2 linked regions of the Nothobranchius furzeri genome follow. The protein of the gene in region 2 binds, or shares a complex with, the protein of the main gene of each other region. Links are inferred from orthologs where the notes say so. Each region holds a gene or a part of one and is shown on either strand. Other genes may lie near its edges.

What was found. Proteins that work in one complex are often made in the same cells at the same time.
Region 1: taf1a (region 2) and polr1c share a complex: the UniProt entries of both Homo sapiens proteins name them as parts of the pol I pre-initiation complex. The link is inferred for Nothobranchius furzeri from reciprocal best matches to the Homo sapiens genes TAF1A and POLR1C.

What each region holds. Positions count from the first base shown.
Region 1 is NC_091752.1:59,333,730-59,341,019, reverse strand, and holds part of polr1c (DNA-directed RNA polymerases I and III subunit RPAC1), read right to left. Parts: coding exon 7,214-7,290; intron 4,709-7,213; coding exon 4,576-4,708; intron 1-4,575. UniProt on the Homo sapiens protein: DNA-dependent RNA polymerase catalyzes the transcription of DNA into RNA using the four ribonucleoside triphosphates as substrates.
Region 2 is NC_091742.1:8,329,903-8,337,192, forward strand, and holds part of taf1a (TATA box-binding protein-associated factor RNA polymerase I subunit A), read right to left. Parts: exon of another isoform or gene 7,113-7,290; intron 5,041-7,112; 5' UTR 4,464-5,040; coding exon 4,420-4,463; intron 4,162-4,419; coding exon 4,007-4,161; intron 2,545-4,006; coding exon 2,381-2,544; intron 2,249-2,380; coding exon 2,135-2,248; intron 2,057-2,134; coding exon 1,858-2,056; intron 1,710-1,857; coding exon 1,591-1,709; intron 201-1,590; coding exon 42-200; intron 1-41. UniProt on the Homo sapiens protein: Component of the transcription factor SL1/TIF-IB complex, which is involved in the assembly of the PIC (pre-initiation complex) during RNA polymerase I-dependent transcription.

The DNA of each region.
Region 1 (7,290 bases), on a different chromosome or scaffold from region 2:
TTATCTTTTGTTTCAATGTGTGGCATTGAAATACTGTTTGCTATCTTGGTTTACTATTTGTTTTGATTTGTATAGAGGACCCACTTGGAAACGAGATGGTTCATCTCAAGTGGTTTATCCTCTCGAAATATAAGTTAATAATTAAAAAAATATATCATATTATACAAACTATAGCTCTACATTGCCATAATTAACAGACCGGTACCAGTAGAAGGTAAATTAGAATTGTACAGTTTTACATCTGGGATGTTTTTAAACAAATAAATATGAAATTAATATTAGTTTTTCATGTTCATGTTAGAACCATCAACCACATGTACTTGAGTAAAAAATTGACCATTTTTATTCCGTCACAATTATCAACTTACTGTAAACCAAACAATCATCTGCTTATTGTTATTTTTGAGGGTCATTAAATCAATGTTTCAGTGTTTTTGCTCCGTAAATTTGAAAGTAAAAGAAACAATCATCATCTGCAAAAATTATTAAGTATTTAATCCAGTCTGAATACAGGAAAAACATTAAATCATAAGATGACTAAGGACCTGGCTTACGCTAATTTTGGGCATGGAGAGCACCTGTTGTGCTGAGAAGGATACAATTATGAATTCCAGCAACATTATCACTTGTTCCGCTTCATCCAAAATATATTATTTGAAATGCACAATGTTGATATTTTGGTTTTAAAATACATAACAGAGTTTTCTAGTTAAAAAGTGGCCTTTCTCAATAAAGCGTCTAAAAAAGCTATTTTTTTCTAAATCTGAACTTCTGACGTAACCAAAGGGAGTTAGAAGCTAGGCTGCCTCAGCTCAGTGTGGAGAGTGGGTAGTTTTAGGGCAGCGAGGTCATGTTATCCAGTCAGTGTGTGTTTACTAGTGTTGGATTGTGTTCATGTGGATAAACTATAGTGTGTGAAGTCTGTACCAACTCCAGCCTGTCTGGACATTAAGCCCACGTGTTTCCAGATAAGAGAAACAATGCCTCTATCTCCGTGCCTGAGGGCGTTTTGTGCAGCTGAAAAGACGGACTTCTGTAGCCCACATCGGTCGGTACCGGGTCAGGGAGGTCCATTCTGGCCTCCAGATACTCGTGGCAGTTTAAAAATGCGGATTTCTGGAGCTCAGATCACCGTCAGAACCGACCACCAGAAGAGACGCGCGGCTAAGCGGGCCAGTCGAGCAGGTTTTACGTCGGTTCCAGATCACAGAAGTACCCATGAGCTGCAGAACCAGATGACAGGCGTCTCTCTCTCAGCTCAGCGGGCCAGCTGGTTTCTGGGACAAGATGACGAGGACACACACAGCAAATTAATAAAATAATGTAGTTCACAGTCTCCAAAAGCAACACAGCTCATGTTCGCCTTTTCTTTAACTTATGGAGCAGACTTTCTCACGCGTACTAAACTCTGCCCACAGGCTTGGAGATTTCCGCATTCTTGAGAAGTCCCTCTGATTTATATGTGAACACTACACGACCACCCGTTCGAGACCGAACTCACGCCATCCAGCCCCGCCAAACTCCAACTGCGCCGACGCTAATGTGTAAGCGCCATTAGCCAACAAGCTGAAGAGGACTTTTTCCAGCTGATTTATTAGGATCTGTCTGGGCTGTGTCAGACTGGGAGACCCAGAGAAGGAGTTTACTCTTCAGCTTCCTGGTTTTCCTTCAAACAGTAAGTGTATCATGAAGTCATCAGCATACGTGTACATATCCTTTCATCAAATCTAATTTTATTCATGAAGCACTTTTCATGCAATGAGTGCAACTCGAAGCGCTGTTCAATATGAAAAACAGTCAATTTCCCACCCCTCACACACACACACACACACGCACGCACGCACGCACACACACGCACACACAAAAGCTAAAGTAAATGGTAATGGTAAATGGCCTGTATTTGATATAGCGCCTTCTAGAGTCCTGGAACCCCCCAAGGCGCTTTACAACACAATCAGTCATTCACCCATTCACACACTGGTGGGGATGAGCTACGATGTAGCCACAGCTGCCCTGGGGCGCACTGACAGAGGCGAGGCTGCCGAGCACTGGCGCCACCGGTCCCTCCGACCACCACCAGCAGGCAACGTGGGTTAAGTGTCTTGCCCAAGGACACAACGACAGCGACAGACTGAGCGGGTTTCGAACCTGCGACCTTCTGATTGCGAGGCGAGCACTTAACTCCTGTGCCACCGTCGCCCAGTGAAAAGTGAAAGGACAACTGGCTGAGTACAGATGCAATAGGCAACAAAGAAACGGAAAAGGAGCCAACTGCACCGGCAGCAGCAGCTCGGGCACCAAGAGGAGGCACGAGAAGCACCCTGGCAGCCACAGCCGACTGCCTCTCCCAGGGAAGTGGTTGATTTGAGATTAAGATTAAGATAACAAATTAAAAACCAAATTAAGCATTAACACCAGATAAATAAAAGTCTAATTAAAACACACTGATAAAAAATAACCAAGTAGAAAGCAACAATTAAGTATATAAACATAATGAAATGCAAATAATGAATACAGGTTAAAACAAGTTAAAAATAATATGAAAATATAAGTAATTTAAGTAAAAGAGAAAGTAATAAAACACTGATAAAATATATAAAAGATGGTTAAACAGGCTAAAATAGATTAAACTCAGCTAAAAGCTATAATAAAAAGGTCTAAACTTAGCACAAAACTCCTGTGTGAGATAAGAAGTAAACCATTTATGGACAGCACCAGACAGGCCGATGTGTTTTAATATTGTGTTTTATATAAAGAATATTGTGGTCCACTGTATCAAAGGCAGCATTTAAATCCAGTAGAACCAGAACAGTTACTTTCTGTGCATCATAATTTATTCTTAGACCATTTAAAACTCTTAAAAGGGCCGTCTCGGTGCTGTGCTTTACTCTAAAACCAGACTGAAATTTCTCAAGACATGATGTGCATTAACAAAATCACCAGGCTGAATTAAAACAAGCTTTTCAAAAAATGTTCCTTACAAATGGTAAGTCAGATATCGGTCTGAAGTTTCTCTTCTTCAACAGGGGTCTGACCAGCGCCCCTTTAAAGGCGGCAGGAAAACCCCGCGTCTGAGAGCAGTTCATCATGGTTGAAATCTCATCTCTAAAATATCCATAAAAGGGCTTAAAAATGAAGTGACTATGGAAAAGTATGCATTCTTAATTATTGTCTCCCTGTATTATTATGAATTAATTGGTTTTGTTTCTTTATTCTAATTTTTGCTTATCATTTATTTTTCTTGCACCACGAACCGCAGCAATTTCCTAATGCTATTCTCACACATGTGGCAATAAAACCCTTCTGATTCTTATTCTCTCGCACCTCTTTGAATGATATTGACACTATTTGTAAATGAGTTACACAAACACCCATTTATTTCAGTTTTTATCGACAAGTAATATATACTTTAAATTGTTAATTAAAATGGCTGAGTAGTGCTTTCTGCTTCTCTTTCATATTTTTAAAAATACCTGCCATAGATCTCACACACATTTTGTATGATACTTTAATTATTTTGACTCTCATTGTTTGATTTTTAGTGACTGATCCTTATTTTGAAACTAAATGATAAATGATGAATGACCCACACTTGATGCAGGTGACTTTGACAGCCATGAGCAGCTCCTTTAGTGGGAGACTGCGGCACCCAAGGTGTGGGACAGAGAGATTCCGTAGGTCTTTCCTCCCTACTGCTGTCAGACTCTACAACAAAGCTGTTGGATGAAGTGTACTCTGTATTTCTAGCTGTATCTAGTATGGTTATTATTTATTATTTTTTAACCCATTCTTAAGGTATAAACTGTCTATTGTATTGAGTTTATTTTATCTCATTGCGGTCGGTCTTATTGTATTTTAATGTTTTTCTCCCTCTGCAGCATAACTTTTACTTTTACTTTGCTTGGCTGTAAACGAAACAAATTTCCCACTTGTGGGACTAATAAAGGTCATCTTATCTTATCTTATCTTATCTTATAGCACCTCTCAGAGTAAGGACTCCAAAGCGCTTTACACTACAGATTCATCCATTCACACACTCAATCGCACACTGATGGTGATGAGCTACAATGTAGCCACAGCTGCTCTGGGGCGCACTGACGGAGGCAAGGCTGCCACCGGTCCCTCTGACCACCACCAGAGGGCAAGGTGTGTCTTGCCCAAGGACACAACAGCAGAATTATCTGTCCGGAGCCGGTATCGAACCTGCAACCTTCCGATTACTGGAACACCCGCTCAGCCTAAGTTCCACACCTAAGTTCTGAACAAGAGTCACATATGTACCCAAGCAAACCCACTATGCTAAAACATGTGTCCTGTATCAGAGCTGCATGTGCGAAGTTTGCAAAGAAAATAAAAATGTTTCAAAATCAGCTTACTATCGAAGGAGTTATGGTTGATTAAACATGCTGACACTTCAATGCCTCTGTCAGAAAGGAGGGGGGGACCGATCCAAGATGACGGCGTCACCGCTCGTCATGTAATACAGGTTATTATTGGGCGTAGTAAAAACCATGGGCACTTCCCTACCCAGCATTGGGTAAGAAGCAGCTGAGGGAGCGCATTTGACTGTTGTACCTGCATTCTTGAACTCGAACAGACGAGGATCTGCTTTAATGGGAATCAGGCCTAATCTGTGAGCAAGGACTTCATCCTGGACAATTGATGTATTGTTATAGATGAACACCTTCTCAACAGCCATTGTGGGCACCTGCAGGCAAAATAAAAGCAAAGCATAAAAAAGATTAACAAAAAACATACAATGAGACATTTTTGCCTATAAAGGTCTAACTGCCTAATCGCATCAGGGAGAAAATGTTGAGTCCAGCTATAAAAATGTTGGATTCTTTCTCCTGAGAATGAGTCCAGCCTTAATTCACTGCTACTATGAATCCCATAATGTGAACATTAGAAAGAGACATAAATAATGGACCTGACCCAGCAGAAACTCCGTCATCACCAGAGATTTGAATGGGTCTGCACACTGGCTAAGAAAATTGTTATCAGTGTTTCCCCTAGAAAATTTTCCAGCCGTGGTTCACGGGGGGTGGGGTGTAACGTTTTTGGTGCTGTGCATTGGCTGTTGGGGGGGGGGGGGGGGGGATGGATGGGTGCGCATACATATATATATTAGGGCTGGGCAATAAATTGATATTTTTAAAATATCTATATAATTTTTAAACAAGATACAAGATGACTTTATATCTTTATATCAATATAACTGGTAAAACTGCTATGCTAGCGATTAGCCGCTATGCTAGCGACATGTTGCTCCGTCTCTAAGCTTCTGAACCACCTGTAAACGGTTCAGGGAAGTTCTGCTCAGACACGTGAAAAGAGAGTTGCAGTAAACTAAGCGTGAGGAGATGAAGTTGTGGAGAAGCCTCAAGTTCAGAACGGGACAGAATGGAACTCAGCTTAGCGATGTTCCTGAGATTGAAGAAGTTAGAGCGAACAAGAGAACTGACATGAGAATCCAGGCTGAGAGCTGGGTCAAAGGTCACACAAAGATCCCTGACAGAAGGTTTGGTGTGAGATGCAAGCTGACCAAGAGAGCCCCTGACTTTGAGAACCAGCTTGTCTGGGGCACAGATGAGGATCTCAGTCTTATCTTCATTCAGCTGTAGAAAGCTCCCAGCCATCCAGGTTTTGATAGAGTCTAAGCAGGTGTGTAACAGCTGCAGCTGAGACATCTCATGGGGCTTAAAGGAGATGTACAGTTGGATGTCACCTGCATAAAGATGGTAGGAGATTCCTTTGAAGAAGCTCAGGATGTGCTGAAGAGGAAGCAGATAGAGGAGGAAGAGCAGAGGCCCCAGCACAGAACCTTGTGGGACACCATATATATATATATCCAGTTCTTATTCCACCACAAGGTGTGCACCAGCACCAGAGTGTGGACACGAAAAAGATGATGAGTATTAAACTACTCTAGGGGGGTCCGGGGGCATGCCACCCCCCCCCCCCCCCTCACCACCACCACCCCTGGTAGAAAATTTTGAGCATTTTATTTTTAAAAGCATCAGTCTGGTGCATTTTGAGAAAAAAGGTAGAGTTACAGGCTGGTGAGGATGTATGATAAAGTATCTACACATGTTTACAGCATTATAATATTATATTTGATTGCGTTTATATCCTATCCTGTCTTTAATCCATTTTGAACACCGACTACAGCTAAATCCTCTTATGCATCCATGCTGCTCAGTACCAGAACTGCACTGATGTCACTAGTTACTAAAGAACCAATCAGCTGGCAGAGCTGCTGTTGAACACGTGAGCATACAGAAGTTGCAAAACTATGTGACTCAATGTAAGGAACAAAGTAGAATCCAGCTGCTGTTGTTTATTTGTCGTTTATGTTTATAGAAACTAAATCTATCTGCAGGGCTTTAGGCCCAGGGCAGTTTTAGACCTCAGACTGAACCACATCCAGACCTGTTATTAAAAATATTGTGTATTCTTTACACCAATCAGAAAATTCAGTGATGTCCACAAACATCCAAACCTTAGAAATGAAATGAAATCAATATTAAAATTTAAAATGATTAACATTGTTTCGTCATTATAGATCAGTTATCTGTGAACGTTTTTATACTTGATATTGTCCAGCTGAAGCAGACATCTGCTTATTTCTAATAGAGCTGAGCTGTGGGAGAAAATATTCAGGCTTATTTAATCGTATTTTCCACCTGTGGATTTAATGCATTCACTTAATATTAATTATAAAGTTGTAAAAAAACAGGTCATTAGAGTCTGGGCATAGAACGTGTTTCTAGGAACAGAAGCTTGTTGGGTTACGGTTAGCAGCAGCTCACCTGTTCCTGACAGGAGAAATCCTCTCATCAGCAGCAGGTGATCTACAGAGTAACAACGGCCCGAAAAAAAAATAATAAAATAAATGAAAAAAAATATAAAAATAATAATGCACCAAACTCAAAAAGGGCCACCGGGAATTTCCCTAACTTAGATCTGTGGCTCCTATTCTACCAAAACCAGAGCGCCCCGCGGGAGCGAGATTGTAATGAGCGCGAGTGTTTTTACCGCTTGGTAAACGTGGTGCAGTGGTGGGGAAACGCGTTTCAACAGCGGAACCGACTGGAATGCTGACGTAACACCGGGGGAGGGGGGAAGAGCTAACACAGCCCGAGAAACACAGAGGGACCGGACTGGAAGTAACGCTTTTTGAGCTAAACTGCAGGAAATGTGTGGGTGTTACCTCTGCTAGTAAGATTCTTCTGAAGGCGTTGGCAATGGACGCATCAATCCCTACCATGTCAAACTCCATACTGCTTT
Region 2 (7,290 bases):
TATAATCATCTGTAAAATATAAGTTTCATGGGCTGTTTTACCTTTAACACTTTGATCAGCTTCTTCTCAGGAGTGTTGTGCCTCTTCAGGAACTGATACAGAAACACGTGTGCGTTTGGATTGGGTGGAAAACGTTTGTTTAACGCGTAGTTGTTCAAGACGTTAAGAGCCTCCACGTGATCCCCGTAAAACTCCAACATCTGCCAAAATACAGTGAGACAAGAGGCAGGGACGGTCGAACGATGGGATTAACGGTCAGCATAACAGAAAAGATGTGTCTGAAAAAACAAAGTACCATTACAACAACTTAAAGACTGCAGAAGTTGGTAAGTGCTTCGATATGGTCCTGGTAGTGTGGCAAGCTGGAGAAACGAGGGCCCGGGCGGGATTCGATCCCCAGACTCCCAGGTGAGAGTCATACGCTCTAACCAGTCAGCCAAAGGGACATCCCCTTGGCCAAGTAGCCAGTGCGCATCATCAAGCGGGACATTGTGACAGGACACTCACACTGCCAAAGTTGGATGATTTTCAAAATAAGAGACTCCCACGTGTGGCATTAAAAAAAATAAATAAATCACATTTACCAGTTTTAGTGTTTGGCGCTTGGCTACACGGCAAAATCTACACTACAGATGAGAAAATCGTCAAATATTTCAAGATTAGCTCAGACCAATCGAGATCACAATTTCAGACTGGCTACACGTCACATCCAACCGGCAGAATGTCTGACCAAGACATTCCATCACGTTTAATATCCCGATTTGTGATCGGGAGCAGTCCTGCAGTCCTTCCGAGCAGACCAGAGAGCTATTAACACACCACACACGGCAGGAATATCTGATAAAACTATCTTTAAATCTGTTACAATAATCAGGCAGATCCTTGAGATGGTCAGGAGGAGAATTGGGAAAGAAACTGGCGTGAAATGGTGTTCTGTCCAATCACCATACGTTGTCAAGATTAGCATACGCGTGTTACAGCATACGCCTGACAGCACATGTCTGTCAGATCATACATTTAAGCTATATGACAATGTGATAGGCCACTTTGTCCATCAGATAATCATACTTGTTTAAAACGACCGTACGATCCCTTGACTTGTCCATTTGATAAATTTTAAAGCTTTATTTTCTAAATGTTTAGAATTAGAAGGTAGTAAAATAAAAGTGTGATACACAATCATCAGTTCATTTTTGTGGTAAAAAATTATGAACACAGTCGATAAACATTTTCCTTGTACTTTGTCGTTTGTATGCTTGACTCACAGCTCCTCGAACATAACATGACATAGTTGGACGCTGCTCCGTTAGAACACTGGGCCAAAAGCTCCTTATTAGCATCTCCAACACTTAAGGAGGTGCAACAAGATCAAACTCAAACTCATGCGATCTGTTAGGGCTCTGATGTGAATGACTCGACTACCAACAAATTTTAGCTTAACATCTGTAAAATGCACGTCGCTATTTTTGTGTCAGCTAGCATCATTTAGCTCTGGCCGCCTTCTAAATGAAACTTTAAAACACACTGCAGTTGCATTTTAATCAATCCAATCGTGCTGTTTTACAACGCCTGCGACAGATGAGCGTTTACCTCGACATAACTCAGAATGAACGGATCCCAGACTCCTGGACTTTTCAAAATCTCTTGTAGATGCACAGAAGCTTGTCTGAAATAGTTATGCAAGTCTTGGTGATCAGAGTCAAATGGATCTGAAAAAAAAAAAAAAGAAATAATTTTTTTACAGCCAGCTCTGCAGCTTGTCTGCTGCACATGCAGTTACTTTATTTAACCGTTAGAGGGCAGTATAGGACCACAAATCAAACAAGTCAAACAGGCATAAAGGATGCCGCTTCTTACTATTTTTAGAGCGTGTGCGCCTTTTGTCACACCAGATTATATAATCCAACAAGCTCCTGTAGGCCTGGATCAGTTGAACCTTGTGATGCTGAGTGGCCGACTCCTTCCCATATCGCCAGCTTTCGGCGACTGATAGCTGCTGCTTTGCCTCTTCCATCTGACCATTCAGCAGCAGGTGGAAGCAATGCTCCAGGCAAATCTAAACGCACAGACAAAACGGTGTTTTCATAAAAAAGCTAAATAAAGTGCATTGCATCAAGTATGTCGGCCAGCATACCGTCAGGTAAAGTTTAACCCCAGAGTGTTTCATCCGTTCATAGGTGATGTTGCAACTTTCCATCGTTGCTCTGGGATGATGGTGAAGGATCTCGGTGCAGATTCTCCAAACAACCTGGAGTAAAGATCAACAAAATAAAGAATTAAAAAGCTAAATGTGGTCAAATATTTTATGAGGATTTTGTATATAAAAACTTCAGTGTGAATGTTGGTTCAAAACAAATATAATAAAACAAAGTTAAGTCACCTCTTTATACAGCACAGCTGTGGCTCCGTTCCGGTCCTCTAGGATTTGAGGGTAGGACGCCATGTAGTCCGCTGCCTCTTGCCATCTATGACGCAGCATGGCTTCTCTGATGTGCTCCAAACACATCTGAACACTTCGTCTGAACCCAGTTTCTTTGTCCATCTCTGAAAACATTCATATTATTTGACCACTAAAACCCTTTCCAGGCATTTATGCTCTTTAAATATAAAAATACTCACACTTACTGCAGCTCTTCTCCACTTTTAAAGCAAGCTCATCTGTTTGCTTTGGGAGTTTATTTAACTGATGTTTGAAGGTTACAAAAAAAATTTCATTCTCATCATAAATAAGCCTGGTTTTGCATTTTAATGTAAGTCCATTTTGATTCTAGTGTAATAAATTTAAGAGTAATTCCCAACAGTGCAACTCTGCAACTTGCTAACATAAACTGGTGACTGTACTCATTAAAATATAGTAATTTTGACATTTTTAGACATCACTAATCGGAAAATTTAAGTTATACAAATTTTTGACTTTAGGACAAAGTTTACTTTGAGTCAGGGATGAGGTCCTGATCCAAGTGGAGGAGTTCAAGTATCTCGGGGTCTCCTTCACAAGTGAGGGAAAGATGGAACACGGGATCGACAGGCGGATTGGTCTGCATCTGCAGTGATGTGGGCTTTATACCGATCTGTCGTGGTGAAGAGAGAGCTGAGCCAATGATTCACCGGTCAATCTACCCTCACCTATGGTCACGAGCTTTGGGTAGTGACTGAAAGAATGAGATTGTGGATACAAGCGGCCGAAATGAGTTTTCTCTGCAGGGTGTCTGGACTCTCCCTTATAGAAAGGGTGAGAAGCTCGACCATCTGGGAGGGGCTTGGAGTGAGCCCGCTGCTCCTCCACATCAAGAGGAGCCAGTTGAGGTGGCTCAGACATCTAGTTAGGATGCCTCCTGGATGCTTTCCTGGTGAGGTTTTCCAGGCACGTCCAACTGGGAGAAGACCTAAAGAAAGACCCAGGACACGCTTGAGAGACTGTCTCACAGCTGTCCAAGGAACACCTTAGGAGTCCCCCGGAGTAGCTGGCCCGAGTGGCTGGGGAGAGGGAAGTCTGGGCCTCTGGATAAGTGGCTGAAAATGGACGGATGGTTTACTGGTGATGAAATACATGCGTCTGAAGTTATTCCTTAAAATATACAAATAAAAGAACATAAAACTTTGTTCAAGTGTATACGAATATAATGTCAGTTGATGATCTTATTCTGAAGAGCAACCCCTTAGTTCTCCAGGTGTGTTTAAAGCTGCCATTGCAGCACCTTTTTACAAACCGATTGCTTTTTTTTTTTTTGTTTGTTTGTTTGTTTTTTGAGAATGGATTGGTTGAGGCGGTACACCAATATGTGGTTTCTTATCTGGTAACCTAACCTGTACCAGCATCAGTTAGAAATTAACCAAACTACAACCTAAAGTCACCTCGATAAGCCACTAATCCTTCTTCGTAGTACATGACACAGGTCCTATCAGCGGATCTGGAAAAGGTTTATACATTCCACGTCTGCACAGTCTCTTTATTAGTATTACTAAGATGTAAAAGAAAAGAATGTAAGTGTGCTGTGCCTCTCACCTACAGACAGAGGTTTAACCAGAGGAAGCGTTGATTTATGCCCTTTTCTACAGCTTCTGTCTGAAGAATCACTGCCATCATCCAGGTTTTTGACAGTTGAGAAGTCTCTAACCTGGTCATCCAGATCCGCCATACTCAGTATGAAATTCTGGCACCTGCACAAAGAAATTAACACATTGAAAAAGCCATTTTCCAGTTAAGCTGATTGTGTGAAACGTACACATAATCAAAGGCATCTAAAACATGAATATTTCCATACATTTAAACACTAGAGCCATTTACTAGAATTTGTTTAACTCTATATTCTTTTAGAGAGACATGGCACTGCTTTCTATTAGTATCTAATTCTAAATGTAGAACACAAACATCTAAACTAGAGCAGGTGAACACCAACTCCAGTCCTCGAGGGCTACCATCCTGCTAGTTTTCTGTTTCCTGCTCTTCTTTCTTCTTCCATCTTCTTCTTCTTCTTTCTTCCTTTTTCTTCCTTCTTCTTCTTTCTTTTTCTTCTTCTTTCTTTTTCTTCTTTCTTCCTTCTTCCTTCCTCTTCTTCTTCCTCCTCTTCTTCTTCCTCCTCTTCTTCTTCCTCCTCTTCTTCTTCTTCTTCCTTCTTCTTCTTCCTTCTTTCTTCTTTCTTCCTTTTTCTTCCTTCTTCTTCTTCCTTCTTTCTTTTTCTTCTTTTTCTTCTTTCTTCCTTCTTCCTTCCTCTTCTTCTTCCTCTTCTTCTTCTTCTTCCTTCTTCTTCTTCCTTCTTCCTTCTTTCTTCTTTCTTCTTCCTCTTTCTTCCTTTTTCTTCCTTCTTCTTCTTCCTTCTTTCTTTTTCTTCTTTCTTCCTCTTCCTTCCTCTTCTTCTTCCTCCTCTTCTTCTTCTTCCTTCTTCCTTCTTCCTTCTTTCTTCTTCCTTCTTTCTTCTTCCTTCTTCTTCTTCTTCTTCTTCTTCTTCTTCTTCTTCCTTCTTCTTCCTTCTTCTTCTTCCTCCTCTTCCTCCTCTTCTTCTTCTTCCTCTTCTTCTTCTTCCTCTTCTTCTTCTTCTTCTAATAATAATAATAATAATAATAATAATAATAAATTTCCAGCAGACTATACGCTGGAATGTGCAATGCTGCCCACCACAGTTATATTACTGCTACATTATATCCTCGAATAAATGCCAGTGTGATGAAGGAATTGAACAATCAAGCTATATACACATTGGGAATTTGCACTAATCGAAAAAAAAAAAGGAAAAAGATTCCATCCCCAAATCCACCAGCCCCATAAAAAAGTTGCCGCTTCTCACTATTGTATTTCCTGCATGACAACAATAGCCTAGTGAACTAGACCAAATCCTTGTGTTGCAAAGTTTGCTAATCCTTATCTTAAATAATACATTTATTTAGTCTGGCTTGCCAGGCTATGACAACAATACATGAACAACAGTTTTGGAACTACCACACTCACACAACCCATCTACATGTTTACCAATCCTAAATAAGCATGCCGCCAGACCACAGTGCCCCAATCTCATTCTGGCAATCACCTCTTCATCTCTACGACAACAGGTTAAGGGTTGCCAACTAGTATGAGCTGACGGCTGACAAGGAAAATAAAGTCTTCCTCTACGTTCCCCTTCCCATTCTTTCTGCCACAAATTTTTTAAATAGTTACTGCATGCACATACTATTAACATTCTCTTTTTCCCAGAGGAAGATGATGATCAATGCTATTTCTAAGGATGGAGTCTTTGGCCAATGCATCTGCCATTTCATTTCCCAAAATTCCAGTATGTCCAGGGACCCAGACAAATACCACCCTAGAACCCGCATTCTCAGCGTCTTTAATGGGCCATTCCCATCTGTACCGGGTCGGCCCCAGCCTGGCCCGGTTGATTCCACACATCCTTGCCTTAAGCCCATGTGGGCTGATTCTACCCACCAATCAGAGGCTTGCTCTAATGGAAGGTGTGAATTTGCTGTCAGCAGTGGGTGTGTTGGCCCTGGTCGGCCTGAAGCAGACCCCCTCGAGAAGAGGGCTGAGAATGAGCCTTGGTTAGCCCGGAAAAATACCAGGCCACCCAGATATGTAAACAACCTACGCAACCCAGCCCGGGCCGACCCGGTACAGATGGGAATGGCCCATTAGACAACACAAAATCTCCAAAACTAAGTCATTCCATGCCTCAGATGTCCCGTTACTTAGAGTCAACAGTGCAGCAGCAGAATCAGAGCAGACAATAGTGTGAGATGGTTTATGCTCCACTATCCACTTCATTGCCTACAAAATAGCCAAAAGCTCAACAGAAAAAACAGATAATTTATCTGTCACACAAACACTTGACCTAACTTATAGCTCGACAATATAAACCCCAAAACCAGCTCTATGAAATGTAGTTTCTTTAGATCCATCAGTATAAATTTGGATAGCATCTTTGAACACTTAAATACATTTCTAACAGTTTAATGGCAACCGCTTTTTCTAATCCTAGTAAATCCAAAACAACTTCTGGCTCAGGTAATTTCCAAAACGGTATTGGAGACCACACTAACCCCACCACCATTTCCTTTTGTAGTCCTAGGAGATTTACTAGTTTTACAATATGATTTAGGAAACTGTCCTTATCCTGATCTTCACTGGACTCCCGACAATCATCTATGAGACATTTATACGCCAAGCTGCCACTAAACCCGGCCAATAATGAACTCCTAGTTTTCCCCTCCTCATTGTCAAAGGGTACTCACCCGTTTCAACCAGCAATGCTGGAACTGAAGTAGATCTAAATGCTCTGCAACAGATTCTTAGGGCCATAAACTGCACATAATCCAATTTACACAACACAGATTTAGAAGCTTTCCCAAAAACCACACATCCATAATCCAAAACAGGCCTAATCATAGCCCTATAGATTAACTGTAAAGTACTTCTCTCCGCTCCCCAGCTGCTACCTGATTAACTCCTCATGACATTAATTACCTTTTCACATTTGCTTACTAATCTTTCTATGTGTTTTCCAGATTAATTTCTCATCAAACCACAAACCCAAAAACTTAAACCTTTTCAATCACAGAGCCATAAATATGAATATTCATAGATGGGATTTTCCTTTTTAAGCCAAAGATCATAAATTTACTTTTTACTATAGATAACTTGAATCCTCCGTTATTTGCCCACTGCACAATTTGATCTAAAGCTTTCGGTGTCTGAGAAAACAAATGCTTAAAATTCCTCCCACTTCTCCAGATGGCACCGTCATCTGCAAATAGAGATTTTCCAAACCTATCATCAACTTTCTCAAAAATAGCTGTTTC